3 linked regions of the Arabidopsis thaliana genome follow. The protein of the gene in region 1 interacts with the protein of each later gene in a pairwise test. Each region holds a gene or a part of one and is shown in the gene's direction. Other genes may lie near its edges. The genes, in order: MEF1, MORF9 and MORF1.

Region 1 (11,253 bases):
TTTATCTTTGTGTTATACGTATGACCCTTATTAATTTTACATGATGCATATTAACCGGAACAATTGCAATGACATATATGTTTATGTTCAAAAAGTTTGCAAAAACCTCCTGTTTCGCACCCTTCAATACAAAATTTCCAGCATTTCCCATCCTTCTCAGCATCATCATCGATGCCTGGAAGACACCTTCCAACACTCGGATGTTCTTTACAACATATCGATTTGTCTTCAAATATCCAGGGTGCGATGTGTTTTTGTCCATCTATTTGAATGGATCCTACATTTAATCAAAAATAATATTACATGAATTAATTTTCCAACATAAAAACTTCGGAAAAAAAGGTTAACGCTTTAGTGCTAAATACAAAAAAAACATAGTATACATAATACAATAGCAGCAAATAAAACAAAAGAGACAACATTTGTTCTAACCATTCTTCTCTTTTTTCTTTGTTAAATCAAAATATTAAGAATTTTTTGATATTTTTGTATTTGAATGAGAATGAAGAAGGAGTTGTTTCGTATTTATAATTAGAATTCTAACTATATTCAAGGGATCCTTCGAATTAACATTATCTCACATAATAAATTTGTAAGGAATACAATATATTTGGTCAACCAAATTAAAAACATGTTTCCAAAAAGATTGGATATTCCAACTTTGACTACATTATTACAAGACATACATGACTTATTTAGATAAACGTTTTTGGTAGTTTGCAAGGTAATGCAGACTAATATTTTCTGTGGGTTTATTCTGTCAAGAGATATGATTAGAGACTCATTCATTTCTCAATATTCCAATTCACTAGTTTAGGAAATTAATATAATCTTGAGGCTCACGCCTATTACTTGTATATAAACAAGCTCTGTATCTCTTTGTGAAATACATCAAACATACATCTTCTACATATCCGTTGTCGTAATATTCTTGTTTGAACTCTAAACCAAAACTTAGATCGGTTTGGTTTACTCGCCGGTTGTTGCGCTCTATGACGAACTTTTATATAAACTCGTTTACTCGCCGTTATTACAACTTACAACTTCTGCTCATATTATTTAATACTCATGCGGTGAAGAAGAAACAAGACGAGGAGATGAGCATATATTATTATTACATTAAAATTATTACAAAGGATTCACTTGGACAAGACTGACCAACATTTATATTTAAAAAAAAGAACTGACAAACATTATACGAAAGAAGAATCCATTAACTCATGTGATCATGCAAGATCATCACTCTTCTTGTTCTTATTACAATAACATAATACTTTCAACGTAATCCGTGAAAGTAAGCACTAAAGATGATCGATCTGAGCATCTGATCCCTCCGAGCCAAACTTCCCTTGAACGTTTCATCTTGAGATCAACATAGACAAGATAAATCTGATAAAATCGATCATGAGCTGTAACTATAAGCTCATCACTACCAGCAACAAAACCCACCGCACCTAGCCAAACAAGATCATACGAAAACATCTCTCGAGTTAAAACGATAGAAACCTTAGACCATTCTTGTTTCCCGGCATCTTCCAAAACCCATAAATCATACATGCTCATACTTTTTGCAGCAAGTAAAGCTAGTTTCCCTTGATAGTTCACAAGTTTAGAGTAACCAAAGTTCATATCATAAACATTACTAGCCCCGACCGGTATTTCAATGAAATCACCAAACTTTTCAGTAGCCACGTAGAATCTAACAAGCCTCAGTCCATGCGCCGTCTGAGCACCGTAATACACAACCCCATCGATGCATATTCCTCTGGTTGAGGGAGAAGGAATATTCTCAACCTCGATCATTTTCCATGAACCTTGACCTTCCAATGTAAACACTTCCAGTTTATAGGGAGATAATAAATATTGTTTTGAGAAAAACAAAACCTTGTATTGATAATTGATAGGATCATATCCCATATACCATTTCCTGAACTTTTGATGTGGAGCGGATTGGGGCACGAGTACACCCTTACGCGTGGCAGGATTGGATATCCACAGTTGAGACATGTATTCGACACATATCAAGCCATTGACACAATCAGGCGTATGAGAAGAATTATTGGCGCTGCATGTCGCCTTGGTAACCAAAGAAGGTTGGGATGACGAGAAGAAATGCCAACGACAAGATGTGAATATATCACGTAAAGCAAACATGACATATGGCTGACGAGTAGAGGATCGAGATTGGTATAAGTTGATGAAATATCGACTGCGGATGATTGTGGCCCAAAGCTTGCACACACATAGGCATCTAGCTAGGGGTTTCACAGGCAATCTTAAGAGAATTTCGACCAAAAGGTCTTCAGAAATCATACTTGATAAGAAAAAAGTTTAGTATTTTTTTTTTTTTTCTGTTTGATAAGATAGATAATCTATAAATCAAGATTCTATCTTATATATACAAATGCAATGGGAGAGTAATTTGCTTAGTCATTAATATATAAGATTGACTTGACTACATTTTTTTAAAAATGTATATTAATTAAATTCGTATCTAAATGATTAAGTCAATACAATTAATAACCGCGACTAGCTTTTTGTATATTACTCCCTCGGATTCATTTTGTAAGACTAGAAATGCGTGGTTTTAATACTACACTATATTATTTTGAAAAATTATTTTATTTACAATTTCTGTACTTAAAAAATATAAATGGAAATGAATAAGTGGATAATCATCTAAAATTATTTTAATTTTGAAATTTTGTTTAAAATAAAATATCGACTGTCGATCTGGTGAAACAGAGCTTGGACTGTCTTATTGTGTAGTCCGGTTGTTGCGCTCTATCTCTCTCCAAAGAAACAAAAAACGGTGGGTTGGACTTAATAATCCAAGCAATTAAGCTTGTTGTTCAAATTTTAATCACCACCTTTCTCAAAAGAGAGTGTTAAGCCTTTGACGAAGTATGAATCGTTAATTTGCACAAGAGTAAAGAATTATATGCGTGTCAAAGTTTTAGTGTTTGAGAATGATTATAAGCTGTCTTGATACTCAGTTAATCATCATATATATAAACAAGAAGAGTGAGTTCACAAGTGTAGATTTTATATTATACTTATTTTTGGTCAAAACCAAAGTGTAGATTTTTTTTTTTGAAGTTGGGGACAAAGAGACGGATGTCGTTTCGGGTATAAACCTATAATTTCTTAGAAACGAGAACACAAAATTGATAGAGAGATCTTAAAAAAACCTTATAGACTATAATATCATTTCCAAAGAGAAGTTTTATGAAAATGCATTTGATGGAAGGATATAAAACATTATCATGTGTTCAAGTAAAATAGAGAAGAAAACCTGGGAAAACAAATTGCCAACAAATGATGAAGCTCACAACAAAACTTGTCTGATGAAAAGTCACATTTCCAAGTAAACTACCTAGACTATGAGTTATATAAACTTGACATCTTCTGCATAGTCAACAAAGGTGTAAACTCTACTACTAAGATTCTTCTCTGACCCTTCAAAACCTTGGATTTCAACTTTTTCCAGAGTGTTTCTTTCGGGGTTGAAGTAGTAAACAAAGAAGGATTCCGATGTATAATCCATGGATAAAATAATTTCACCAGTAGCAGTCACTCCAACAACGGAAACATTGCCGTGAACGATATTCACCGGCAAAGTGTATTCACGTTTCAACCATTCTTCTTTCTCGGCATCTTCTAGAACCCACAACCACAACATAAGTACCTTCCACCGAAGCGGCTTTGGATAAATTTGATTATCCCATAAACAACTAAGCACGCATAATTTACCCTTGTAATTAATCAGTTTAGCAAGCGCAGGACAAAAGGTTACGTCAACATCCGCATTAAGAAACTTAAGTGTTTCATACCTTACATTAAAGGAAGCTATCTTCACACCACTGAACTGGAATTTGTTGCTAGCCATGTAATACAACACCCCATTGATGCATATCCCTTCACTTTCAGGATAATGGTCTACGAGACATCGGATACTCCTCCATGCTACTTTTCCAGTTCCTAATGTCAGAATATTTTCTGGATCAAAATGTGAACTGCTTGGTGTGATTACCTTGTATTTTTTGCCAATCGGATCATACCCTAATAAGCTGCTCAAATTGTTCATACTACTCCTTTGAGTTAATCTTGCGTATTGTCCCGTGCTAGGGTTACATATCACCGGCACTTCGCCTGTACGCGTATTAGGGAAATAGAGCAAACCAGAGACAAGGCCAAAAATCTCTTGTCCCATGTCTCTACGTAACTCCATATGAAAATCGGCTGATACTACAAGAGAATGATTCTCATCTGGAAACTGAGACTGAGGCGACGAGTACAAGCACCACTTATCAGAATTTTGAACCGCGAATAAGAGACGTGGACGACTCAAGGGCCTAGTAATTAGGAACAACTCAATGAAATCTTGACCTCTTAGTATAGATCCACAGAACTTGGATGCGAGACCAAACTTAGCGATTGAATTAGTAGACAATCTCGAGAGTATATCGAGAATGATATCAATCGGGATTGGATCTGATTTTCCTTCTCTTTCCATCGTACGTTTTTCAAAGATCGTGTATTTTGGATTTTGGTTCCAGTTCCAGTTCCAGTTCCAGTTCCAGACTTAACGTAGACGACAACCTAGGGTTCAAAGGCAATTCATTCATACCTAATGGGCCGAATGAATTCATGGGCCATGTTAGAGGCAACTAAAAGGCTGGACGAAACTATCTATTTTAGCCTTTTAGGGGAGGTAACGTATTAATGTCCCCAACTATCTTTTATAGGATGCATAGTTGGTTTTAACTAACATTAAAGGTGTTACTAACAATGGGCAATGATGGTAAAATTATAACGCAGTGGACACAATATAACTTAGCCATACCAATGCAAAGAATCTTGAAACTAGTATTAAACTCAGTCACGTATATGCTCTCCAGTCTATGCTTCGAAGAGCTTTCTTCTAATCCCATACGAAGAAGCTCTCTATGTTTTTCTAATTTAATCAGGCTTAGACAACTAGTTTCAAAGTCATAATTCTTGGTGTCTGAGTTGTCTTCCCTTTCCATCGAGTTTTTTAAAGATCGTGTCTTTTGGTTTCCAGTTCCAGACTACGTAGGCGACACTTCAGGGTTTCAAAGGCAATGGCACTAAAAGTCACTAATGGGCCTAACGACTTAATGGGCCTTGTGAAACGTTACCCAATAAGAGACCTGGTTTCTCACTGAGTTCAACCATCTTCTTCCCCATGGCTCTGAATTCTTCAGCTTTCTTCGTTCCATGTCACAATTACAATCAAATCTGTGATCTTCTTCTTTCTTCAGCTCGAACCAGATCAACTATTAAAGGACTTCAGCTTCATGGCTATGTCGTTAAATCAGGCCTTTCTCTTATCCCTCTCGTCGCTAACAACCTCATTAATTTCTACTCCAAATCACAGCTTCCGTTTGATTCTCGTCGAGCTTTTGAAGATAGCCCACAAAAAAGTTCGACGACTTGGAGTTCAATCATCTCTTGTTTTGCCCAGAACGAGCTTCCATGGATGTCACTCGAGTTTCTTAAAAAAATGATGGCGGGAAACCTTAGACCTGATGATCATGTTCTTCCATCAGCTACAAAGTCGTGTGCGATTTTGAGTCGTTGTGATATTGGTAGATCAGTTCATTGTCTATCGATGAAGACTGGGTATGATGCTGATGTGTTTGTGGGGAGTTCTTTGGTTGATATGTATGCGAAATGTGGAGAAATTGTTTATGCGAGGAAGATGTTCGACGAAATGCCTCAGAGAAATGTTGTTACTTGGAGTGGGATGATGTATGGGTATGCACAAATGGGTGAAAATGAGGAAGCTTTGTGGTTGTTTAAAGAAGCTTTGTTTGAGAATCTCGCTGTTAATGATTACTCGTTTTCGAGTGTTATTAGTGTTTGTGCAAATTCGACTCTACTTGAGTTAGGTAGACAGATTCATGGATTGAGTATTAAGTCTAGCTTTGATTCTTCTAGCTTTGTGGGAAGTTCTTTAGTCTCGTTGTATTCAAAGTGTGGTGTTCCTGAAGGAGCTTATCAAGTTTTTAACGAGGTGCCTGTGAAGAATCTCGGGATTTGGAACGCTATGCTCAAGGCGTATGCGCAACATTCACATACTCAAAAGGTTATTGAATTGTTCAAAAGGATGAAGCTTTCTGGAATGAAACCAAATTTCATAACTTTTTTGAATGTGCTCAATGCTTGTAGTCACGCGGGTCTAGTTGATGAAGGGAGATACTACTTTGATCAGATGAAAGAATCGAGGATTGAGCCGACGGATAAGCATTACGCTTCCTTGGTGGATATGTTAGGACGAGCTGGTAGATTACAAGAAGCACTTGAAGTTATCACTAATATGCCGATTGATCCCACGGAATCTGTATGGGGAGCTTTATTAACGAGTTGTACAGTCCACAAGAACACAGAGCTTGCAGCATTTGCAGCAGACAAGGTCTTCGAATTAGGACCAGTGAGTTCCGGTATGCACATTTCGTTATCCAATGCTTATGCAGCCGATGGTAGATTCGAAGACGCAGCTAAAGCTAGAAAATTGCTTCGAGACCGAGGGGAAAAGAAGGAAACAGGGCTAAGTTGGGTTGAAGAAAGGAACAAGGTTCATACATTTGCAGCTGGAGAAAGACGTCATGAGAAAAGCAAGGAGATATATGAGAAGCTGGCTGAGTTAGGGGAAGAGATGGAGAAAGCGGGTTACATTGCAGACACAAGCTATGTTCTGAGAGAAGTGGATGGTGACGAGAAGAATCAAACCATAAGGTATCATAGTGAGAGATTAGCTATTGCTTTTGGACTGATCACGTTTCCAGCTGATAGACCGATCCGAGTAATGAAGAATCTGCGTGTTTGCGGTGATTGCCATAACGCGATCAAGTTCATGTCCGTATGTACGAGACGAGTGATCATTGTGAGAGATAATAATCGGTTTCATCGGTTTGAAGATGGCAAGTGTTCTTGTAATGACTATTGGTGAAGAAGACAAATGAGAGTTGGTTTATATTTAACCATAATTTCATTCAGTTCACACTGAACCGGCGAAATTTCTTTGCCAGACCTATTCGGAATTGAAACAAGTGGAGTCTCGAAACGAAAAGAACTTTCTGGAATTCGTTTGCTCACAAAGCTAAAAACGGTTGATTTCATCGAAATACGGCGTCGTTTTCAAAGAACAATCCAGAAATCACTGGTTTTCCTTTATTTCAAAAGAAGAGACTAGAACTTTATTTCTCCTCTATAAAATCACTTTGTTTTTTCCTCTCTTCTTCATAAATCAACAAAACAATCACAAATCTCTCGAAACGCTCTCGAAGTTCCAAATTTTCTCTTAGCATTCTCTTTCGTTTCTCGTTTGCGTTGAATCAAAGTTCGTTGCGATGGCGGATGTTCAGATGGCTGATGCAGAGACTTTTGCTTTCCAAGCTGAGATTAACCAGCTTCTTAGCTTGATCATCAACACGTTCTACAGCAACAAAGAAATCTTCCTCCGTGAGCTCATCAGTAACTCTTCTGATGTAAGTTTCCCTTCAAATCTCTCTCTGCTCGGTGTGACTCGTCCGCTTCCTATTTTCTTGCATGTTGTTTGTTCTTTAATTCCTGGATTCGTTGATAGCGTTGGATTCGTAGGTTTAGCGTTGTGATTGCTTATTCAAATAAATCGTGATTTGGCTTGTGCATCACGTTAAGTTTAGAATTCTTAGCTTGTGCTCGATCTTCATGTGTTGTAGTTACATATATAGAACGGTTCTTGCTTCGATGTAGTCTTTGATTTACCCTAGAGGATTGAGGAAAGCTTCTGATTATCTTTGTTTATATGAATGGTTTTGTAGGCTCTTGACAAGATCCGATTTGAGAGCTTAACGGATAAGAGCAAGCTCGATGGACAGCCTGAACTCTTCATTAGATTGGTTCCTGACAAGTCTAATAAGACGCTCTCAATTATTGACAGTGGTATTGGCATGACCAAAGCAGGTAACGAATCAATGCCTAATAATCTCTCGTTGGTGAGATGTTTTAGTGTATGTGCTGTGGTTATGACTCTCTATTATTTTTTCAGATTTGGTGAACAACTTGGGAACCATTGCGAGGTCTGGAACAAAAGAGTTTATGGAGGCGCTTCAAGCTGGAGCTGATGTAAGCATGATAGGACAATTTGGTGTTGGTTTCTACTCTGCTTATCTTGTTGCAGAGAAGGTTGTTGTCACTACAAAGCACAATGATGATGAACAATACGTTTGGGAGTCTCAAGCTGGTGGTTCCTTCACTGTCACTAGGGATGTGGATGGGGAACCACTTGGTAGAGGAACTAAGATCACCCTCTTCCTTAAGGACGATCAGGTAAGGAATCGTAGCTTTGAGTGTTTTGGGGATTGTTTCTTTTCTTTTGGTGTTTTCTGTGTTCTTACAAGTGTGTTTATTCATGCAGCTTGAATACTTGGAGGAGAGGAGACTCAAAGACTTGGTGAAGAAGCACTCTGAGTTCATCAGTTACCCTATCTACCTTTGGACCGAGAAAACCACCGAGAAGGAGATCAGTGACGATGAGGATGAAGATGAACCAAAGAAAGAAAACGAAGGTGAGGTTGAAGAAGTTGATGAGGAGAAGGAGAAAGATGGTAAAAAGAAGAAGAAAATCAAGGAAGTCTCTCACGAGTGGGAACTCATCAACAAGCAGAAACCGATCTGGTTGAGGAAGCCAGAAGAGATCACTAAGGAAGAGTATGCTGCTTTCTACAAGAGCTTGACCAATGACTGGGAAGATCACTTAGCCGTGAAACACTTCTCAGTGGAGGGTCAGCTAGAATTCAAGGCCATTCTCTTTGTACCAAAGAGAGCTCCGTTTGATCTCTTTGACACGAGGAAGAAGTTGAACAACATCAAGCTTTATGTCAGGAGGGTGTTCATTATGGACAACTGTGAAGAGCTAATCCCAGAGTACCTCAGCTTTGTGAAAGGTGTTGTTGACTCTGATGACTTGCCACTCAACATCTCTCGTGAGACGCTTCAACAGAACAAGATCCTTAAGGTGATCAGGAAGAATCTAGTGAAGAAGTGCATTGAGATGTTCAACGAGATTGCTGAGAACAAAGAGGACTACACCAAATTCTATGAGGCTTTCTCCAAGAATCTCAAATTGGGTATCCATGAAGACAGTCAGAACAGGGGAAAGATTGCTGATCTTCTACGGTACCACTCCACAAAGAGTGGTGATGAAATGACGAGCTTCAAAGATTACGTCACAAGGATGAAGGAAGGTCAAAAGGACATTTTCTACATCACTGGTGAAAGCAAAAAGGCGGTGGAGAATTCTCCCTTCTTGGAGAGGCTGAAGAAGAGAGGATACGAGGTACTTTACATGGTGGATGCGATTGACGAATACGCTGTTGGACAATTGAAGGAGTATGACGGTAAGAAACTTGTTTCTGCGACTAAAGAAGGCCTCAAACTTGAAGATGAGACCGAAGAAGAGAAGAAAAAGAGGGAAGAGAAGAAGAAGTCCTTCGAGAATCTGTGCAAGACGATTAAGGAAATTCTCGGGGACAAGGTTGAGAAGGTTGTGGTCTCAGACAGGATTGTGGACTCTCCCTGCTGTCTAGTAACTGGTGAATATGGATGGACTGCAAATATGGAGAGGATTATGAAGGCACAGGCGTTGAGAGATAGCAGCATGAGTGGTTACATGTCGAGCAAGAAAACAATGGAGATCAACCCCGACAACGGTATAATGGAGGAGCTCAGGAAGAGAGCTGAAGCAGACAAGAATGACAAGTCTGTTAAAGATCTTGTCATGTTGCTGTATGAGACAGCTTTGTTGACGTCTGGATTCAGTCTTGATGAACCGAACACTTTTGCTGCTAGGATTCACAGGATGTTGAAGTTGGGTCTGAGTATTGATGAGGATGAGAACGTTGAGGAAGATGGTGATATGCCTGAGTTGGAGGAGGACGCTGCTGAAGAGAGCAAGATGGAGGAAGTCGACTAAGAGATGAAGAAATTGCTCTTATGGTTCTGAAAACTTCTAATATGTCGAGTTGTTCTGAGTTTTAAGATTTTCCAAAATGTCTTTGTCTTTTTTTTTATATCTTTAGAGTTACTTGAACATTGTGACTACTTCTAGGGTTGGGTTTGTGTCAGGTCTGTTATATCGTGTGGTGGGTCTGTCTAATACTGATTCAAGTTTTTGTTATTCAGCTAAGGAACTTTTCTTGTTTCTGAACAAATCTTTTGGTTCCCTAGAGTAAAACTTGACTTCCAAAAGATAGACTTCCTAAGATCACTGGAATAGATAGGAGTGACAACTTGACGTGAAAGGTAGCTTGGCTATAGTAATTTTAGATCTGACAAAACGAGATCAAGAAGTTAATAATTTTCACAACACCAATTTGTTATCGCTTAAAGGTTGATTGATTTGTTCAATAGGGGGAATCATATTCTCGCATGCTCGAAAAGGGGAGAGAAGATGGAATGAACATAACTTTAAATCGGATGTTTGATTCAACAACAAAACTAAACTCAGATAGAGATTATGAAGGATTCCGGAATCTGAATTACAAAAGCAAAATTTAAAGCTGAAAACTCCTCCATGGTCTTACTGTCACCTAAAGACATTTCTTTTTCAAGGCAAACCTGAACCAGATGGTGCAGCTGCGCTGTAGCCACCAGCACCACGGCCAAAACCACGGCCACTTCCCTGATAAACAAGAAAGGATGTTAGAACAATGGCAACCAAACAAAGAGAAGGCGGGTAAATCAAATCACAAGGCAATTATATAACTATAGACTTTGAAACACTTCACAGCTAAAGTAAAAGATTTATGTTCCTTGTAACTAAAGTGATAAAGAGAGACTAAATATGTTCATGGTTTCTCAGGTTCAGGAGCTCTATGATAAAGACTTCAAGAGTAGCACATTATATGACGTTGGTGAGATAGAGAAGTAAATAGAAGGTATGGTCAGTGAGAATTTACTTGGAAAGATGGCTGGTAATCTGCGGGAGCTCCACCCTTTTCACCTCCAAACTCACCACCAGCTCGAGGACCTGCACGGTACCCATCACGGTCACCAAACCTGGGACGGTCTCCTCCTTCATGGCGAGGTCCTCTGAAATACAAAGAAACCCAAACCATGTCAAACAAATTAAAAAAAAAAAAAGTTTTTGCCAGACATGAAATGGGTTAAGCAAAGAGTTAATCACCTTGAGCGATCACCAGGTGGGCCACCAAATGGACGACCACCAGGCTTAGCTGACTTCTT
Region 2 (10,916 bases), on another chromosome or scaffold:
GAAACATCATTTATATTGTTTCATCAAACTATGATCAGAAATAATCAGAGAATGAAGTTCTTCTTTATCTTTTTCATTTTCTTGTTCTCCTTCTTGATTCAATCTTGTTACTCTGACAACACAATCTTGAGAAGTCAGTCTTTGAAAGATGGTGATGTTATATACTCTGAAGGAAAGAGATTTGCTTTTGGATTCTTCAGCTTGGGGAATTCAAAGCTCAGGTATGTTGGGATTTGGTATGCTCAAGTCTCTGAGCAGACTATTGTATGGGTTGCAAATAGAGATCATCCTATTAATGACACATCTGGTCTGATAAAGTTCAGTACCAGAGGGAATCTTTGTGTGTATGCATCTGGCAATGGAACAGAGCCTATTTGGTCTACTGATGTTATTGATATGATCCAAGAACCTGCTTTAGTTGCGAAGCTATCTGATTTAGGCAACCTTGTTCTACTTGATCCTGTCACAGGGAAAAGTTTCTGGGAGAGCTTTAATCATCCTACAAACACTTTGCTTCCCTTTATGAAGTTTGGATTCACTCGTCAAAGCGGTGTGGATCGTATTATGACGTCTTGGAGATCTCCTGGTGACCCGGGTTCTGGAAACATTACATACCGGATAGAACGTAGAGGGTTTCCGCAGATGATGATGTACAAGGGTCTGACTCTTTGGTGGCGTACTGGGTCATGGACAGGGCAAAGATGGAGTGGTGTGCCTGAAATGACAAACAAGTTTATCTTCAATATCTCGTTTGTGAATAATCCAGATGAAGTATCAATCACTTATGGAGTGTTAGATGCTTCGGTTACAACAAGAATGGTGCTAAACGAGACAGGAACTCTGCAACGGTTTCGCTGGAACGGGAGAGATAAGAAATGGATCGGGTTCTGGTCAGCTCCCGAAGATAAGTGTGACATCTACAACCACTGTGGCTTTAACGGTTACTGTGATTCCACCAGTACAGAGAAGTTTGAGTGCTCTTGCTTACCGGGGTACGAGCCTAAGACACCTCGAGATTGGTTCTTGAGAGATGCTTCGGATGGGTGCACGAGGATAAAAGCAGATTCGATATGTAATGGGAAAGAAGGGTTTGCAAAGTTGAAGCGAGTGAAGATTCCCAATACATCAGCTGTTAATGTGGATATGAACATAACACTGAAGGAATGTGAACAGAGGTGCTTGAAGAACTGCTCATGTGTTGCTTATGCGAGTGCTTACCACGAGAGTCAAGATGGAGCTAAAGGGTGCTTGACATGGCACGGCAATATGTTGGATACTAGGACATACTTGAGCTCAGGACAGGATTTCTATTTACGCGTAGATAAGTCAGAGTTAGGTACTAATATACATATACTCTGCAACTTGTTCTGTTTCATTGCAACAAAGGTGGTAGCAATTTGATTTGTTTGCTTGTTTCAGCGCGGTGGAATGGAAATGGCGCATCGGGGAAGAAGAGACTTGTTTTAATTCTCATCAGTTTGATTGCAGTCGTGATGTTACTACTGATCAGTTTTCACTGTTATTTAAGGAAGCGAAGACAACGAACACGTAAGAAATTCTCTGATGATGATTTTTTAAGATTATATGTTTGCTTGCTTAGATCACAGCTAACAAATTGAACACTTTCACAAGTGCAGAGTCTAACAGGCTTAGAAAAGCTCCATCAAGCTTCGCTCCGAGCTCTTTTGATCTTGAAGACTCATTCATACTTGAAGAGCTTGAGGACAAATCAAGAAGCCGGGAGTTGCCTCTCTTTGAGCTTAGCACGATTGCTACAGCAACGAATAATTTTGCTTTTCAAAACAAGCTTGGAGCAGGTGGTTTTGGACCTGTTTATAAAGGTGTGTTACAAAATGGTATGGAAATAGCAGTGAAGAGGTTGTCAAAAAGCTCAGGTCAAGGAATGGAAGAGTTCAAGAACGAGGTCAAGTTGATATCGAAGCTGCAGCATCGAAATCTCGTGAGGATCTTAGGATGTTGTGTTGAATTTGAAGAGAAGATGTTGGTATACGAGTATTTACCAAACAAGAGCCTAGACTATTTCATATTCCGTACGTTTCAACATTTCCTCTATAGATTCAACTTCTCCCATTCAGGACGATCAGTGACTTCGAATTTGCTTTCCTGTTTTGTTTTCCTCCTTGTTGTTCTCATAGATGAAGAGCAAAGAGCAGAGTTGGATTGGCCAAAAAGAATGGGGATAATCCGCGGGATTGGTCGTGGAATCTTATACCTTCATCAAGATTCAAGGCTGAGGATCATCCACAGAGACCTTAAGGCCAGCAATGTACTTCTTGACAATGAAATGATACCGAAGATTGCGGATTTCGGCCTGGCTAGAATCTTCGGAGGCAACCAAATCGAAGGAAGCACAAATCGAGTCGTCGGAACATAGTGAGTTAATCTACTATATCAATCCATCCCCACAAAACTCTCCAATTTCTTTTTTTCAATCTTTAAGGTCGTTTCAATCTCACTGTCACAGTGGATACATGTCACCAGAGTATGCAATGGACGGCCAGTTCTCTATTAAATCCGATGTATACAGCTTTGGAGTATTGATCTTAGAGATCATAACCGGAAAGAGAAACAGTGCTTTTTATGAGGAATCTTTGAATCTAGTCAAACATGTAAGTAAAAACTTCTTCCTTTCTTTGACATAACTTGGGGATACAGAGGAGCAAAACAGAACATAAGCAAACGTTTGTTTCTTCGTCTTGTAGATTTGGGATCGATGGGAAAATGGTGAAGCTATAGAGATCATAGACAAATTAATGGGTGAAGAGACGTATGATGAGGGCGAAGTAATGAAGTGCTTACACATTGGGTTACTTTGCGTGCAAGAAAACTCTTCAGACAGACCAGACATGTCCTCTGTTGTCTTCATGTTAGGTCATAACGCCATTGATCTTCCATCTCCGAAGCATCCTGCATTTACGGCGGGAAGGAGGAGAAACACCAAAACTGGCGGCAGCTCAGATAATTGGCCCAGCGGAGAAACCAGCAGTACTATTAACGACGTTACTCTCACCGATGTTCAAGGTCGTTAAGAAGTGTATTCCTCTTCTTTATAATCTAAGAAGACTATAGGTATCAATTTATAGTAATACTTGTTATATAGAAAATTATGTGTTTAAAGCGTATGCAAACTTATTTGTATAAAGTTTACAAATACCTAATGAAAAGAAAAGTTAGCCTCATTATACAGGGGATTACATGGTTAGCTTCATTTCTTCTCTACATAACCCGACTTTTATCAACCACTAACCAACCATATTAATAATGATCTCATAAAAATCTTTAAATCAACTTAGAAAGTGCTCACCATAGGTTTGTTTTTCTTAACTTACCAAGGAGCCGACAAAATTGTCTCAAACTCAAACTCCACATCTTCAAGCTCTACATTGAGATCTTTTGCACATGACTCCATCTGACATATCTTTTTCCAGGCTGCATCTTTCTGTTCTTTTTCTGCTTCCTTTTGTTCTTTTAGAGCAGCTTCTTGCCTCTGCAGCTCGATAATCTTGTGTTTCACCTCAAGAATCTTTTGTTCCATGTCATCAAACTCTTGTTTAGCCTTGCTAAATTCATTTGTCATCTCCTTGTCAAAACCTTTTAGTTCCTCCATTATATATAGTTGTCTATCTTTGAGTGCTAACAGCTTGTCGATCCGTGATAATGGAGTTGTAACATTGAAGCCATGTTTCTCGAGCTCCGAAAATGAATCTTTAAGGCTATTTAGTTGGCTTACAGGAACGTCGGCTTCAAGATCTTTAAATTTCTCCAGTAACCCAAAATAAGTCACCATCATACCTATTGCATACCCTTCACGGAAATCTTGCTTAGTCTCAAACAATGGGCTGAAATGAAGACTGTGTGATACACTTTTGAAGACCTCCAGTGATTCATAAGTCTTCCAGACCGGTGACTTCTTTGCAAAAGGCAAAACCATTATTGTGTGTTTTGCATGGTTTTCCTCAGCATTAGAAGCAGAATTCTTCACCACATTGGGGGTCCGATCCGAGGATAACACTGGACAGATGAACGCATACACAACACAATGAGAAAATAAAGGCTTATCTACCAGTAATAGTACAATGAGACCATTGCAAGCGGGTCCTACATTCCAGAATGTGCAATGAGAGTTAAGACATACCAGTCTTATTGATGTATGAATTGAGCTTTAGACCTCCTCTTTTCCTCTTTCGAGTATAATATTTGATCTTAGGCTCCTCAGGCATCTGTGCATAGAAGTGTTAAACCAAAAGGAGAGCCATCTCAAAGATAAATAACAATCATAAACAATACCTTCTCTCGAGTTGACTCATTTCCAAAGCCATTCTTCATTGGCACAGGGGATACCTTTCCTTGGGTTTTGTTCTTTGTTGCAGTTACCCCCAGGGTTATAGGTAAACCAGATTCTTTTTTCTGGAAAACAAAGACCATAGAACAATTTCAGGGCGTAGAAAACAAACAAGGTTATAAAAGAATCCACTAGCAGGGTTATGACCATATACCACATCATCAGCCATCTCATTTCCCGGTGGTTCCTTTGTCTGCACATTTCTGTTGCCGTCTAAAGAAGTTTCTTTCTGGCGTTTTGGCTGAAAATGGAAATAACATAACAACACTTCAATTAATCCTCAAAGATGTCACACTAATTAAACCAAACCAACACAATGTTGCCTGCAACTAGTGATACAATTTACCTTTGTTCTTTTATGCCAAACTCCATCTTCCCACTCCATTGGAGGCCTAATATCAGAGTGATTAAATTGCGATGCCTCCTTTGTTGCCCCGAAACTTACCATGTACCTTCCCTCAAAGACAATTCCCCTGACCACACCTTGACGCCATTCAAAACCACTAAACGCCTCTACATGATCCAGCAATTCATACTTTCCAACAGATAAAGGAGGCTGCATAGGCCTTAGTCTTAGGGAATCAACAATTAAATTTTTCGATTCCCGGCAGCTATAGGACTTATTCCAGTACTTGACAAGAAACCTCTTGTCCTTCTCCAACTCCTTAATGACAATTACCGGAATCCAAGCACAATCAAATCTCAATTCCACCATTGTCCCGCAACTAAAAACAGACTTGACCAATTCCTTCAAAGACAAAAAACAAACATACAACAACGGATAAAGTTAACAACTTTTTCATGCAAAGGCGAAACGATTTCAAAAAAAACTCATCATACCTTATTATCAGGTCGGATCCATTTGAAGCCGGTCCAATCAAGATGAACCCTCAATTTCTTTTTCTCAAACTGAATAATGTCTGGTGGGCAATCGAAGTAAACCAAAAACTTCTCATCCTCCATTGTTTTTACCACCACACCAGTCCACCACCCATCTTTGAGATAAGCGTCGACCATCAAGCCTTCTACAAAAACGACGCCGTCGTTCACATCCTCCGACGGGACAGGACGAATGAACCTCTGATCGACGAATTCCGTTAAAGGAGCCAAACGGTGTTCATTGAGCTGCGTCAAGTAACGAACTTTAAGCTTATTGTGTCCTGATTTCGTTGGATTATCTTCCAGAATCGCTCTGTAATAAGACCCTTTTAACTCTTCTTCTTCAGAAAAAACTTCTACTTTGTCGTCTTTTCTAATGAATATCATCTGCTCCATCTCAAAAACCCTTGAATGAAAACTAATAACGGCTCATTTTTGCTCTGCTAACCCTAAATCTAAAAAAAGACTTTTCTGCTGAAACCCGAAAACCATAGATATGATTATATGAAGGAGACTTTTTGCAACCAAAACACAGTGCTACTGTGTCTGTGCTTAGTGTCGATATTCACGATACACATCGGGGAAAGTGTGTTTTCTTTTTTTCTTTCCCAATTTACTTTTCTTTTTTTTTGGCGCTTGAAATTATGAGAAAATGATTTAAGAAATTATCAGGCCCAAACTATCTAATGGGCCTAATTAAAAACGGTGTCGTTTCATAGGATCCTCATCACGAAGCAGGTAAGTAAAAATATATCTTATCTTCTCCAAAACTCTCTCTTCGATTTCAGCAATTGCAATGGCTTCCTTCACAACAACTTCTTCTTCCTCGCTTCTCCTCAAAACTCTTCTCCCCGTAAGCCACCTGAATCGTTTCTCTACACTCTCTGGTATCCGCGTTGGCGATTCATGGACTCCTCTGCTCCGGAACATCTCCACCGCTGGGTCTCGGCGTCGAGTGGCGATTGTGAAAGCTGCGACGGTGGATTCGGATTACTCGTCGAAACGGAGCAATAGCAATGAGCAGAGAGAGACGATTATGCTTCCTGGTTGCGATTACAATCATTGGCTCATTGTAATGGAGTTTCCTAAAGATCCAGCGCCAAGTAGGGATCAGATGATTGATACTTACCTTAACACTCTTGCTACTGTTCTTGGCAGGTTCGTTTTCGCTTTCTTATTGATTCTCTTCGTTGTTGAATTAGTTAACTAATAGACGACATTTACTTGTGTTGCTAATGGACTTGTCCTTTGATTGAATCCAATGTTGCGTATAGGAAGATTTGGTTTTTTGTTAGATTAGGGTTTTTGATGATACTTTAGGGTAAGGGTTTAGTGAGCTGAGTAAAGCTTTCAGCTTTAAATTTGCTCTGAAGTTGACCTAGTTCCAGAATTTGTTCTTAATATCAGGTGTAATCTTTAGCTGACTTGTTTTTCGTCTCTTGATATGTGCAAACTTATTGAACATTGCTGCATATTGAACACAAAACATTGGTGTCTGATTTGATATCTAAAACTTTGTGCTCTTTAGCGTAATTATGAATGAAATTAGGGGGAAGAATAGAAGCATCTATTTTTGCATATTTTCTTCAAGCTATGTATAAATTGTAGGTGATTGTGCATGGTTTCTGTTTGTTAAAAACTTGATGTGGACAGTGTAAGCTAGTAATGTATGTAAAAGGAGTGTACAATTGTGCAGAGCATTAGATTGGGACTCCTGACTAGAAATTTCTTGGTATGGCAGGGAACGAGTTTGTGTTACACAACTAATGACTAAAACTTTAGTTTATTTGGTGCTACTCTCTATTTTAGAGAACTTTGATTCCGGTTTACACTATCCTGCTGATGTGATAACCAATTAATGTACTTGTGTCCATTTTCCAGCATAACCAGTTCATCGTGTTTGCTTATTATATGTACTTGTGTCTATTTTCCAGCATGGAAGAGGCGAAGAAGAACATGTATGCATTCAGTACCACGACATATACTGGATTCCAATGCACCATCGACGAAGAAACATCTGAGAAGTTCAAGGGTTAGTTAGTGAGCAAGAAGAGCCTTAGTCCCCTTATTGAAAGTTCGTCGAAAACCTTCAAGATACTGATCGTTCTGTCTTTTCATTATTTTCACAGGTTTGCCTGGAGTTCTCTGGGTCTTGCCTGACTCCTACATAGATGTCAAGAACAAAGACTATGGAGGTAACCCATCAAAGCCTGATTTTAAACTTTCTAGGATCTCTCTCTCTCCCAGTATCCATGTTCTGATAATTGAATCGTTCTTTCTCGGGTTTAGGCGACAAGTACATCAATGGAGAGATTATCCCGTGCACATACCCAACATACCAACCAAAGCAGCGCAATAACACTAAGTATCAAAGTAAGAGATACGAAAGAAAAAGAGACGGTCCTCCACCTCCTGAACAGAGGAAACCAAGACAAGAACCAGCAGCCTCTGATTCCTCTTAAACTATAATAAGATAATGGAGTGTTTGCAAGTTTTGATCTTTTGGTTAGCACTTAGCTTGTTGAAGTCGTGTGTAAAATCGTCTAGTACCAAATGATGATACTGTATCATCACACCTTGAACAATAGCTATTGTTATGTTAGGATGAAATTCAACTTGAACCATTTGTTTATTTAGGTAATGTTCGGTTTTGGTTTGGTTTGATTCTTTGTCAACCACTGCTTTTTCCCCACGTTTTCTCAACACCAATTTCAGACAAGACAAAACAATTGTAGGGTCACACACTCGTCACCAACTCACCATCTACATCAGTCGTCCCTACCTTATCAACACATCACATGGAAATAATACACTACTCTCTCACGGACTTGGAACCAAACATTCCAAATTAGTTTAATCGACAGATCACTGCTCAGCTGAATCGTTTTCTCTCATCAACCGCAGAGAAAGACTTTCAAGATCATCCTTCAAGCTCTCTCAAATGGCCAACTTCTATGAGAATTACCAGAGTCCTTACGATTACAATCAGGTTAATAATCTCTACGATCAAAATCATTATCATTACAATCAACAGCAGCAGCAGCTTGGTTTCGAACCAATGAGTTATAATTATTACAACTGGAATGAATCTGAATCTGAATCTGAATATGTTGCTTACTCTGGTTATGATGATCCAATGAGTTATAATTGTTATAACTGGAATGGATCCGAGTCTGAGACAACCTCTGCATATGTTGCTTACTCTGTTTCTACCATGTCTGAGCCTAAACACTTGTTCTATGATCCGAATCTCTATACAACCTACGAATCTCCTCCTCAGTTTAGTATCTATTGCTCTGTAGCCTCTGCTCTTGACTTCAACGAGCCGGAATTCGATGAATACGATCCCACGCCGTACGGTGGTGGCTACGATGTTGTTGCAACCTATGGAAAACCTCTTCCTCCATCGGTGGAAACTTGTTACCCTTGTTCAACCGCTCCTCACGCTAAAGCTCCCTCTCCTCCTGAGATTATTGCTCCTGTTCCTCTTGGAATTTATGATGGTGGTCAAAAGAATGTTGTCAAGAAACGTGTGTCTTTTGCTGAACCGGTAGAAGAAGTCAAACCAATAGAAACCATTAAAGAGCAAGAACAAGAACAAGACGAAGATTATGATGAAGAAAGTGAGGACGAAGATGATGGTGATGATGATGATGAAGAAGAAGAAGAAGGGGATGAGGAAGCTAAAGAAGAAGAAAAAGATCACAGTTCAAGCTATGGAAATGAGGAATATGAAGTCGTAGATAAAGGAGAAGTGAAAGCTTTGTATGTTCCGTCTGGTTACGGATTAGAAGCGACCGATCTCTGTGAGGTTATATTTGGAGGTTACTTTCCTTGTGTGTTACGTAACAAAAGACGTCAGGAAGATGAACAAGATCGTGGGGCTGCTGTTTCTTGCTGGGAAAGCAACGATTCTGATCCGTGGAAGACAACTTCCGATCACCTTTTCGGGGATTCATATCCGTACGGTTACGAGAATCGGAGCGAAAGAAATCAGTTCGAGGTCTCCTCTTATGGTTACCGGATGTATTAACAACCCTAGTTATCATCAGTTGTGTCAATGTGAGGTAAGAACAACATTCTTTTGATTATTGATGAACCTGATTTTTTAGTATCTGTTACACAAGAGATGAGATTTACTGTTGTATAACGAGGAGGGGTTACTTAATAATAAAACGTCGCACGCAAAATCTATCTTCAACCTTTCTATTTGTAACATTCTCTTTAACACGTTTGTTTAAAATCTAAAATCTTTAAATACTACACTCGATGTGATAATTGATTACTGTATCCATCGTAATTATTATTGGTATATATACATTTCTTTGTGAAAAACACCAAATAAATGAAAGAATTGTATCATGGTATATCTAATATCTATCACTGTGAGTACAAGTGCAGAAGAAATTGTAGAAGTAGAAAAGTCAACGATAAAGATGAATTAGCTGAAGTTGAAGAACACTCTAATAAGTAATAACAAACAATGAACACCATGGGGGTTCTTGATTATCTTAAATGAAAATTAGTACCCGATTCAAAAGAATATCATTTTTTTGTGTTTTTGGAAACTCTTTTGAGACGTTAACATGTTGACTAATAAATTATGTGTAAATATACTTTTTTGCAGAAATTATTTTTGTGGATGTATAACTTGTTTACCTGAGCATGTAAGTATATGGAATTTTCAAAACTGTACTACGTATAGACAATATGCAAATACAGAAAACAAAACAAAATACCGTATTTACACGCGATATTAATAAGGTTCAATGACATGCTACTTCTTAACTAAAACAAAATTTAAAATGATTGATGAAAGCTTTACATGTGCGTCATGGAGGCTTAACTTTGTTTTGAGACGTCTACTTCTTTTTTTTTATTCTTATCCCTTTCCAATTTAGTTATATGTAGTATAATCAGATTAATTCACCATATATAAAACCCTTTTTCAAAAAAAAATAAAAAAAATTATAAAAGTATAATAATTATTGAGCTGTTGGTTATACTGTTTTAATTTCATCGAATACTTTCTCTGTTTTGTTTTAAATGATGATCCAGAGAATTTTGTTTATCTTATTTCAAGTGATGTTTTCAAAAGTTTAAATATATTTGATTGTAACCATTTATATAATAGAATATGTTTTTTACTAGTTGAATTAGTTTTATTTTAACAATTTATATATATAAAATAAACAAAATATTTTTTTTATTATTTCTTAATTTATGTGAAAAACTTTAGATATGATTTAATATGAAAAGATAGAATATATTATATACCAATCTTGTAAATTTATTCTAGAACTAAGTCAAAACCACTAACTTTTCTTTTGTGACAACTTTTTTATAAAAAAAATTTAACATCATTAGAACCACTAACTCAATTGTTATTATATTTGGTGAATTGATCTAATTAGTAGAAGGAATATATATGTCTGCACTACTGGAGAGAAAATGCCCCGTCCATTATGTTCTAAGCCTTTTCTAGATAACTTACTGAATCTAAAAATAGCATCTGCTTTTTGTCCCTACAAAGTTATATGGACAAACTAAAGGAATGAAAGAGTTCGATATACCCAAATGGGGATAATATAATTTTTTCATCAACTTTAAAAGTTCAAATATAGAGCTAATTATACGCATTTATAATTAACAAAAACGAGATAGTGCAAAACAA
Region 3 (11,052 bases), on another chromosome or scaffold:
TTTTGTTTGTTTGTTGACTTGTGTGACACGTCAGATAAGCGGAGGTACATTAAGAGCATCAAATGATTTCCCGGTCGATAGGTACTTAATCGAACTCAAAGACGAATCGTCAAAGTTACAATACATCTTCGAATACATAACTCTCAGAGATCTTCTCATCGATTGCAACTACCGCGGCGGAGCAATCGCCGTCATCAACTCTCTCCGGACAAGCATAGACAACTGTTACATCACACGGTTCGGAGACACGAACGGGATTCTTGTCAAAAGTGGACACGAGACTTATATCCGAAACTCGTTTCTTGGTCAACACATAACCGCCGGTGGAGACAGAGGAGAAAGAAGCTTTTCCGGCACCGCCATCAATTTGATGGGAAACGATAACGCCGTTACTGACACCGTTATATTCTCCGCCAGGATCGGAGTAATGGTATCGGGACAAGCTAACTTATTGTCCGGCGTGCATTGCTATAACAAAGCAACCGGTTTTGGAGGAACCGGGATTTATTTGAGATTACCCGGTTTAACTCAGAACCGGATTGTGAATTCGTATTTGGATTATACCGGTATCGTCGCGGAAGATCCGGTTCAGTTACAGATTTCAGGGACGTTTTTTTTGGGAGATGCGTTTATTTTGTTGAAATCGATAGCCGGATATATTCGTGGGGTTAGTATTGTTGACAATATGTTTTCCGGGTCGGGTCATGGGGTCCAGATTGTTCAATTGGATCAGAGGAACACTGCGTTTGATGACGTTGGCCAGGTGGTCGTTGACCGTAACAGTGTGAACGGAATGGTAGAGAAATCGACGGTGGCTAGAGGTTCGGTAGATGGAAACGGGACGTCTTGGACCGTTGATTTTAACCCGGTTTTGTTGTTCCCGGATTTAATCAACCACGTGCAGTACACACTTGTGGCGAGTGAAGCTGGCGTGTTTCCTCTGCACGCGCTAAGGAACGTTTCTGATAACCGGGTGGTCGTTGAGACAAACGCTCCTGTTACTGGGACAGTTTATGTAACAGTGAATCAAGGAGTTTAATGTCGTGTTTTTGCCGTTTAATGGTTTTATAATTTTATAAAATGATTTATACTTGTTGGTTTTTATTTGTAATTTTTCCTGTAAGGGGGAAATTTATTTTTTATACAGCTAATAAATGATAAAAACTCGAAAATTGTGACTACAGTGGAAGAGTTTGGTGGCAGACATTTACTTGTTGTCTGAAGAAGAAATTCAATGCAATGACTAATCTGAAATTACACTAGAATCAAATAAAGCTTTACCTAATGTAATTAAATTTCTACAGAGTTGGTGGCTTATGAAAGATAATCTAAGGAGATTTTGATGCTCTGTATTTTCAAATTTTAGATGTTGGCCATAAAGTAAAATTTATTTATACTTCCACACTCAATCCCCATTTTCAGTATTACTTCAAGTCTTCGACATACTTTATTCTGTAAGTTTTTTTTTTGGCATCAAAAAGTGTGAAAATAAAAGTATCATTTTCTTATTGAATGATGAATACTTATGAAAAAGAAAAGCAAACTTTATGACGAATAAAGCCTGAAGATGTGTTGTAAACAAAGTCTAAAACGAATGATTTTATTTTCTCGTCAAGTAATCATTTTATTTTTATTGATGATTTTTCATACTTCACATAATACTTTTGATATTAGGCCAGTTAGGAATAAATTTTCAAATACTTTGATCTTTCTTTGTTGAACTTGAGCGGTTCGTACGAACATGCTTTGATCTTTTTGCATTTTCTTATGAATAAAGCAAAAACTTCTAAAGTGTTTCTATTTAATAGATTGGAACTCGAGTCGGTGTACATTGAAAAAATAAACCAAAATTTAATAACAGAGATTATTTGCCTTTTAATACATATACACACACGCACATATCTACCTGCATCTTCTTCATAATCATTCCTAAGAAATTCTCTCTCTCACACACTCAAGAACAAGACAAGAGTCAAGAAAAATCAGATGAGTCTCTATAGCTTCATTAGCTTGTTGTTACTGTTTCTCATCACGATTTCAATGGAGTTTAAAGAGACATCATCCTTAAGAAGAGACATGACCAAGCTTTTAAAGCTCCAAGAGAAGATTCAAGAAAGACTCGCAGTCACTCCCACTCTCTCACCAGTGTCTTCTCCTTCTTCTCACTCTCCCAAAATGGTAAAGTCCTCTTGTTCAGTTTCTAATGTATTACAGGCACGTGTGTGTGATTTGTGAGCGTGTGTGAGTTTGGTTTGTGCAGGTTGGGAAGGTGATATACCCGATTGGTTACGGAGCTGACCCTACAGGTGGACAAGACAGTAGTGACGCAATACTTGAAGCTTTAACTGATGCTTTTCAGTTACAAACTGGACTTGAGATGCTGCCACGTGTCGCTGATTTAGGTGGTCTAGTTATTGATCTCCAAGGTGGCAGTTACATGATCGGAAAACCTCTCAGGTTCCCTTCCTCCGGTGGCGGAAATCTTGTGGTTAGTCCCTCATTTTAAAATTTGACTTAAGAAACTTATGAAAAGGTTTGAGTCTTTTAAGACATTGTTCGGTGTAATTCAGGTGAAAGGTGGGACTTTCCGGGCATCAGAACTGTTTCCTGGTGATAGGCATTTAGTTGAGCTTGTAGCATCAAACGCTAAGAAACCAATGAAAATGTCGCCAGAGGAGTCTTTCTCCGATCAGAAAGACCAGAGCTCTGGGATCTTCTATGAGGATGTGACCTTCCAAGATGTTCTCTTCGACTCAAGATTCCGAGGAGGTGGTATTTTGGTGATTGACTCAGCTCGTATCCGTATAACCAATTGTTATTTCCTCCATTTCACAACGCAAGGGATTAAAGTCCAAGGAGGTCATGAGACATACATTTCAAACTCCTTCTTGGGGCAACATTCAACGGTAGGAGGAGACAGAGAAGAAAGAGGATTTACTGGGACAGGAATCGATATCTCGAGTAACGACAATGCCATTACGGATGTAGTGATTTTCTCGGCTGGTATCGGTATCTCTTTGAATGGTGGTGCAAATATGGTTACGGGTGTGCATTGCTACAATAAAGCTACATGGTTTGGTGGCATTGGCATTCTAGTGAAATCACATTTAACGAGGATAGATAATTGTTACCTTGATTACACAGGTATAGTCATAGAAGACCCTGTCCATGTTCATGTCACCAATGCTTTGTTCTTAGGAGATGCAAACATCGTCTTGAGATCGGTACACGGGAAGATTTCCGGTGTAAACATCGTCAACAACATGTTTAGCGGTACCGCCAAAAACAACTTCCCGATTGTCAAGCTAGAAGGAGAGTTTCATGATATTAATCAAGTTGTGATTGATCAAAACAATGCAGAAGGGATGATGCTGAAATCAACAACCGGAAAGGCCATGGTTTCCGCAAATGGAACACGATGGATCGCTGATTTTTCCCCTGTTTTGGTATTCCCTAACCGGATAAACCATTACCAGCATTCGTTTTTCGCTCAATCCGGACAGATCCCTGCAAATGCAGTGACCAATGTCTCCAACAATATGGTGGTTGTAGAAACCGATAGAGCTGTAACTGGAACCGTGTCAATAATTGCTTATCAGTAAAACAACATTCTTCACATTGATCATATTCCTAATAAGAAAGCATGATTTGACATCTGATTTATACAAGTTCAGTTACAGTTTGGTGAGCTTGATACTAACAACTAATACCAGCAATCAGCAACCTCATCATTAGCGGCTTCTTCTGGCTCATCCGACTTCTCAGGTGGACCAGAAGTCCTAGGCAGTCCTTGGAAATCACGTTTACCTGGTTTCGCAATGTCTATATAAATCATTCTGCCATTGTACATCTGCAACAGAGGAATGGGAAACATTTAGGTTGATTTCAAGACATAAAAATGTAAACTTGTGATTGAAAGAAGCTTTTACCCGACGGTCCATGGTCTCTATGGCAAGAAAAGCATCATCTTGAGACGTGAATTGAATAAAAGCATAACCTTTTGATCTCTTCATTGCCTCATCTTTGATAAGCTTAACTGTTTTGAAGTATAAGAGTGAACATATCAATGCCATAAAACTGAACCTTAAAGCAACAAAACAGAGTAAAATTGAAACCGCAAACATACCTTCAGCTATCTCTCCAAAAGCTGAAAACTCTCTCTTTAGAAAATCTTCACTTGTAGAAAACGGTAAATCTACAAATTCAAAGTGAAGAAACATCAGAACCGTAGAGTAATTACCAAGTTGAAGTTACAACCAACTTCAACTTCACTAATGATTGCTACAAGAGCTTAGAGCTATCACATATGACTACCGTCACAATCCTGACTCAAATCAACTAATTTCAATCAAACCAGAATCATAAATTACTTTTGGAACAATAACAGAACCATGTCCTAATCTCAGCTAGAAGCGAATTCAAATATAAACCAAAAGATAATCTGAATCTTACTTCTGACCATGATTTTGCTCGCTAGAGGGTAATTAAAGAGCGAAGCTTTAATCTTTGGAAACCTAAGGTTCCTGTAATTAGGTAGAGAAGATGAAGAAGCCACAAAAGAAGGGAAAGATAACGTCGCCGACCACATAATTCACAGTCGCCGGAAATAGAGAGGGAGAAGAAGAAGAAACAAACAGAGAGTTATAAAACGACAGCGGTATAGTAAAAAGCTAAGGCCTAAGTTTTTTGGCCCAGTGATAAATTTGAAACTTTAGGCGGAAACTAAAAACATTTGAAACAATAAGGACTTAAAAAGTAATTTACTATTTATTTAGATATTGTAAAACCCACACAAAAACCCTAATTTCATTTCTCCAAAGCTTTCCAGAATACTCTCCACTCCTTCATAATTTCTCTGGCAACGATGGCTATGATATCTCACCGTCTCCGACGAGCTTTACTCACTGCGACTTCCTATGTTAACCGATCAATTAGCTCTTCGATCACACCAGCGTCTGATTTCCCTTCTGTGTCGGCGGCGGTGTTAAAGAGATCCGTTATAGGGCGTTCGACGGAAGTAGCTACTCGAGCACCGGCGAGACTGTTTTCAACGAGGCAGTACAAGCTTTACAAAGAAGGTGATGAGATCACGGAAGACACTGTGTTGTTCGAAGGATGTGATTATAATCACTGGCTTATCACTATGGATTTCTCCAAAGAGGAAACTCCTAAGTCTCCAGAAGAAATGGTCGCTGCTTATGAAGAAACTTGCGCCCAAGGACTTGGCATCAGGTTAGTAGATGAATTTTTGTCACTGCTTAGATTCGTTGCTTTTGGCTAAATTGTCCAAAAATCATTCAGTAAGTTACTTAAATGTGAGAACTTTACCATTGCTAGGGTTCCATTCACTGTTATATAGCTCTGCTTTGATTTTTGTGTATCTTCTTCTGGTATTGATATTGGTTAAGACGATTATATTGATTCATTTTTGGTGTTTATGGTTGAGTCAGCGTGGAAGAGGCTAAGCAAAGGATGTATGCTTGTAGCACAACTACTTACCAAGGATTTCAAGCAATCATGACTGAACAAGAATCAGAAAAGTTCAAGGGTATATAGTTCGAATCATTTATGTTTGTTTTCTTTTGAATTCAACTTTTTTCACCAGATATTGACTCTGTTATTGGTATATGTAAACAGATCTACCCGGAGTGGTTTTCATCTTGCCAGATTCCTACATTGATCCCCAGAACAAAGAGTATGGAGGTGAGCTGGTTTTTTTTACAAACTGGTCTTATTTTGGATATTTGTTGTTGGGACTCTATCAACAAAATTATGTTTCTTGTTTTCAGGAGATAAATACGAGAATGGAGTGATAACACACAGGCCACCACCGATTCAGAGTGGCAGAGCAAGACCTCGTCCTAGATTTGACCGTTCAGGAGGAGGAAGTGGTGGTCCCCAAAACTTCCAAAGAAACACACAGTATGGTCAGCAACCACCAATGCAAGGTGGTGGAGGGAGCTATGGTCCTCAACAGGGCTATGCCACTCCAGGACAAGGTCAGGGAACTCAAGCGCCTCCACCATTTCAAGGAGGTTATAACCAAGGCCCGAGATCTCCACCACCTCCATATCAGGCAGGTTACAATCAAGGCCAGGGATCTCCAGTGCCTCCATATCAGGCAGGTTACAATCAAGTCCAGGGATCTCCAGTGCCTCCATACCAAGGAACACAAAGCAGTTACGGTCAAGGTGGATCTGGGAACTATAGTCAAGGGCCACAAGGTGGTTACAACCAAGGAGGACCTAGGAATTACAATCCACAGGGAGCTGGAAACTTTGGTCCTGCATCTGGAGCTGGAAACTTAGGTCCTGCACCTGGAGCTGGAAATCCTGGCTATGGTCAGGGGTATTCTGGACCAGGACAAGAGCAGAATCAGACATTCCCACAGGCAGATCAGAGGAATCGAGACTGGAACAACAATAATCCAGCAGGCCAGCCCGGGTCTGACCAAGTAAGATCTCGATCAATAATGAATCTTGCATCTTTCTTTTTTGATATCCTCATCAGGCATTAAAGTACCCCATTTTCCCCATATTTGTTACTGAGATGGTCCTGTGTTTCAGTTTCCACAGGGAAGAAGGTACTAGACAGAGAGCATGCTGCAGTGAATTGAGCTGAATAAGGAGAGAAGTGTCAAAGGCCTTTTATTAAGTTTTACAGTAAATAGTATTTAGTCATCTTTCTACTTTGTAAGACAATAGTTAGTCCTTTTTTCTCTTAAGTTGAGCTTGTTAACGTTGTTGGTTGCGCTTGTGAAATTGAAACACTCTTTCTAGAAGTTCTTTTAAGACCTAATATGCTTGCTTTACCTGAGACATTTGGAATCGTCCACACTTGTAGCTACTGTATTCAGTCTACTAACCAAAAATCAAACGGAACTTTGAAGACCACTTTGAATAGAAATGATGAATTTTGTAAACACTTGGAGCTCTTTACATGGAGATAATGTTTCTAAAGCTAAAAGACAATACTTTCTTGTTTCTTCTTGACTGGTGGCAGTTTCGGTAATACCCAAGTAGGAGACTCGTTTAGCCACAGTGCTTCACCTGTCTCCTTGTGCTTGAAATCAGGGGCTTTTGCATTTCTCTTCAAAACAAAAACGATATTGGGACAATAGGTCAGTTTCTTGGAAAGATTGATGAAAAACCGAGCAAAAGATATTGGTATCCTACCTTGTCGATTCTATTGTCCCACCATTTATCTGGGTTCTGAACCAAGTCCTTCCATGATTCTTCTCCTACACATATCAGCCCAGATTTCAGTTTATACAAACATACTTGAACAAGTGCCACATAACTGTAAACAACTTTCTTTGTATAGTTGCATAGGAACATGGAAATGACTGGGAACTTTACCTTTAAGTTGTTTTACAACTCTGGCTTTAGGGACTAGAACATCGAACTCGAGTCCTTCGAGTTTTGGCAAAACCCAATTAGGAGCCTTATTGAGCCACAGCGAAAAACTACTGTCCTTGCTTTTGAAATCAGGATGCCTAGGTTTTACCTATGTAGGAGAAAAACCAAGAAGTCAGAAAACTAGTAGAGAGATTTAGCAGACACCATATCAAAAGATTGCGAGTGAGATAAGGATGAATAGTTAAGCACATGGGGCATTTACCAATCCATTGACTTTATTTTCCCGGTGATCCCACCATTCTTTAGGATTTTCAATGAGGTGATTCCAAGAATCTGAAGCTTCATCAATGACTATATCCTGCTTAGCTCTAGCTAGAGACTCATTTAACAAACCATTAATCAGAGCATTGAAAACAAATGTATGCCAGAAAGATTTCACAAGAAAACACATTTTTCATTAAATACATCACAAGAGATTAAAAAGTAGCTCCCTAAGAGCCTTTCTCAGACCTAACACAAGCGCCAATTGAAAATTGTTCATTGGAAATGTTACATGAGACATACCAGGCTGCTTCTTGATACCACTTTCTTCCTTTTCAGATGATGACATAACCATAAATGGCGACGGAGACGGGGACATAGGCTGTATAAAGTTAAGATTCTGGACCAATACCTGTTGTAAAGCAAGTAGCAACCACCTAAAGTTACAAAGGTTCTCTGGAACTTTTCATACATACTCGAGGGATAATCAAATCAACATAGTACTCTTCTCACAAGTATCATAAAACTGATCAAATACTATTTAAAGCTCACACCTGAACATTGGCTTGTGCATAAGTCATATTTGGAGGAGGAGAATCTATAAACAGCTTCCCAGACACATGAATTTGATCGTCTTTGCTTACATATCGAGCTGCGGTTTTAGCTAAATCGCCTTCAAATATTATCGGAATCCTGACAAAACAAAATCCAAAACCTTTTCAAATATGAATCACAAACAAAGTTACAAATAAAAATCTCATCTTTGAGTATAGATTAGAGAGAGTACCAGAAACCAGAGGAATCTGAAGCAGACCTCTGGGAAATAACAGTACCAGCCCAGAATTTGCCATCAGAAGAAGCTTCGAATTGAACTGGTTGATCAACAAATCCAATCAGATTAACCCAATTCGCTACTTCACTCTCGTAAGCTATCTCATTAGGCCGAGGCAATTCATTCTCCGTCGTCGCCGTGACTGACGCAATCTCCAGCGGTTTCACAGGTGTCACTGCCTCCGGAGTTTTCGCCGGTGCTTTGGCTCTTTGTTTCCTTTCTCCATTTCCAGTTTTCCCGCCGACGGCCGCCGCAGTGTATAAACGGATTTGCGGAGAGGTTATCCGTTTTCCGGTAGTGATTTCTGAAGCTCTTGGATAAAAAAATGGCGAACATTCAATTCTTGCCAAGGATTTGGAAATCAAACTCATCTTTTCATGAGAACGAGAGAAAAAATCCCTAATTTGCGAAAACCAAGAGAAACCCTAATTTTGCTTTGAAGGGTTTAAGGAAACAACAAATTGAAGCAAAAGGGGGCAAAATTTTCTCAGGCAAGTAGTAATTTACCGTCGTTTTGTGTTGGCGCGGAGATAACTGTATCTTAGTTATTCAGTTCACTTTGGGCCTTGTATGGGCCTCACTATTATAATTGTTTTGGGTCCATCTCAATTACTTATAGTCGGAGTCAAGAAGCATGTTGCTAAAATTGGTGTAAATATCATATACAGTAGATATAAATATAATAGCCATTTTATTATATAAAACTGGTAGACTTAAAACTATTATCGCATATCGAAAAAAACAATAAGCTAAACGCCATGCACATCAAAACACGTAGAATAATTTGATTTCAGTCGTCATTTCGTAAATTGACATGTAAAGACTAAAGACAAACGTCTCACCTTTCACGCTATAGCCGTAATTTTCAAAACTCATAAAAATACAATAAAACGTTTTTGTTTTGTTAGGTGATACAATTAGAATTTAGCTATGATTATATTGACTTGGTCGTTGTTTTGCTTGTCGAGGATGTTAATTGTCCTTACTTGATGCTCAAGAGTCGCTTTTATCTTTTCTTAATTTTAACAAGTGCAATCACAACAGTTTGCTGTCATAACTAGAGTAGATCTATACTGATATTGAAACTAAATATCGAAATATATATATATATATATATATATATATATAACTTAATATTTGTGTTAATTAGATCATTTCAAATAGTTTTAAAAGAAAACTATAACAATTTTCGGGGATAACGGAATTTGATAATTGACACGGATCCATAAGATTAATCATTTACTTTACTCCATACCCTTCTTTTGAACAAACCTTTGGACCACACGCTTTTGGTTATTTTGCATTACATCATACAAATGTATATTATATAATGTCTCTATATATAGATTTTGCTATATACACGATATAGTTCTATACATAATCCGTAGGACGCTAAAAAAAAATGCGTCATGGTCAACTTGTGGATCAGGTCAGGCAGTTACTAAGAATTAATCGGTATTTACCTCCATACAAGATCAAGGTGATCGACGTTATGAACGTGTATGGCGATGTGGTTCGCCTATAAGGAAGAAGCTCTCATCTATTCTTTTATTGGCTTTTTGTATTCAACAAAATGTTTGAGACAACGCTTATGTCAAAAGTTTTTCTCGAAATAAATTTTATGTTTTAATCAAAATAAAAAATTAGAGGTTTCTTTTCAAATTACCATTCTCTTTTTTTTTTTTTTTTTTTTTTTACGGAGTTTACGATATGATATACAATTTCTTACTTGTTTGATGATTACCAAATTCGTTACGTGAATGTTAATAATAAAGATGATTCCAAATTTTTAGTAAAAAGAAGTTGTATATATTCGTATGAACAAATGAACAATATACGTTTTGAAAATTCAAATTAAAAGTTTTTAAAAGTCAAACGCAGATTCTAAGCATGTGAGTGAAATGTGAACAGAATTTAACAATAATTGATGCGAAGTTGACTTTATGATATATACCTATAGGACTGGTCATAAACTTTGACCACGAAATTCAATTTATGAATATTTTTAGATCAATTGAAAACAAAGGCAATCGAGTAAAACTTTTGACTGCAGAAATGGTTCAATTGACGATGCTTTTGGCCGTTTCTTTGATTCATTCTCTTTGTCGGCTTCACTAGTACAGCATAAATAACTCTCTTATGTTTTGTAAACTCTCGCCAATATAAGATAAATAAATTTTTTACGCGTAGTAGTATATGACTAAGTCTCCGACATCATCTTACAGCTTCACTCAATTTTGATAGTCACTGTTCCATGTTTAGTTATGAAAGTATTCTTTTTTTTTTTTTTATTGAGTTCACACGTACGCATATATATTACTAAAACTAAACCTAAATAATACTAACAAAATAGTAGAATAGTACGTACCATTACCATAAACCAGTAAATTTCATTTTATGAAATTACGATAGTTTATCCGATATATTTAATGGAACTGACTGTTGAAATATGTATCTTTTTTTTGTCAATCGATATTAATTAGATATAGTTCAAAAGAATCATTCCTAAGGAATATTGTAAAAGTCTTCAAAATGAATGAATTTTGTTTTACATATATGGGAACGTAAGCACATACGAAAACATAACTTTTGTACTTATAC

The links.
Region 2: the proteins of MEF1 (region 1) and MORF9 interact in a two-hybrid assay, tested with the Arabidopsis thaliana proteins (one study listed by BioGRID).
Region 3: the proteins of MEF1 (region 1) and MORF1 interact in a two-hybrid assay, tested with the Arabidopsis thaliana proteins (one study listed by BioGRID).

What each region holds. Positions count from the first base shown.
Region 1 is NC_003076.8:21,345,166-21,356,418, forward strand, and holds MEF1 (mitochondrial RNAediting factor 1), read left to right. Parts: upstream 1-5,209; coding exon 5,210-6,976; 3' UTR 6,977-7,168; downstream 7,169-11,253. Other genes in the region: AT5G52605 (Defensin-like (DEFL) family protein), read right to left, coding at 51-262, 375-435; AT5G52610 (F-box and associated interaction domains-containing protein), read right to left, coding at 1,258-2,313; AT5G52620 (F-box associated ubiquitination effector family protein), read right to left, coding at 3,389-4,516; HSP90.1 (heat shock-like protein), read left to right, coding at 7,392-7,514, 7,830-7,971, 8,057-8,337, 8,426-9,982; AT5G52650 (RNA binding Plectin/S10 domain-containing protein), read right to left, coding at 10,616-10,690, 10,968-11,100, 11,195-11,253.
Region 2 is NC_003070.9:3,841,235-3,852,150, forward strand, and holds MORF9 (plastid developmental protein DAG), read left to right. Parts: upstream 1-5,985; 5' UTR 5,986-6,038; coding exon 6,039-6,400; intron 6,401-7,176; coding exon 7,177-7,274; intron 7,275-7,371; coding exon 7,372-7,437; intron 7,438-7,531; coding exon 7,532-7,704; 3' UTR 7,705-7,990; downstream 7,991-10,916. Other genes in the region: AT1G11410 (S-locus lectin protein kinase family protein), read left to right, coding at 31-1,336, 1,420-1,548, 1,638-2,051, 2,157-2,394, 2,486-2,630, 2,724-3,050; DUF2 (agenet domain protein (DOMAIN OF UNKNOWN FUNCTION 724 2)), read right to left, coding at 3,347-4,032, 4,157-4,241, 4,309-4,428, 4,518-4,604, 4,710-5,111, 5,204-5,638; AT1G11440 (uncharacterized protein), read left to right, coding at 8,184-9,275.
Region 3 is NC_003075.7:10,839,898-10,850,949, reverse strand, and holds MORF1 (multiple organellar RNA editing factor), read left to right. Parts: upstream 1-4,802; 5' UTR 4,803-4,864; coding exon 4,865-5,232; intron 5,233-5,450; coding exon 5,451-5,548; intron 5,549-5,637; coding exon 5,638-5,703; intron 5,704-5,789; coding exon 5,790-6,517; 3' UTR 6,518-6,548; downstream 6,549-11,052. Other genes in the region: QRT3 (Pectin lyase-like superfamily protein), read left to right, coding at 35-1,039; AT4G20040 (Pectin lyase-like superfamily protein), read left to right, coding at 1,987-2,178, 2,261-2,488, 2,571-3,602; AT4G20030 (RNA-binding (RRM/RBD/RNP motifs) family protein), read right to left, coding at 3,704-3,850, 3,930-4,036, 4,127-4,195, 4,453-4,588; PTAC9 (plastid transcriptionally active 9), read right to left, coding at 6,961-7,089, 7,176-7,240, 7,359-7,506, 7,621-7,726, 7,919-8,031, 8,174-8,312, 8,407-8,822. UniProt on the Arabidopsis thaliana protein: Involved in organellar RNA editing. Required for the processing of numerous RNA editing sites in mitochondria. Binds to the mitochondrial MEF19 and MEF21 factors, two pentatricopeptide repeat-containing proteins involved in RNA editing.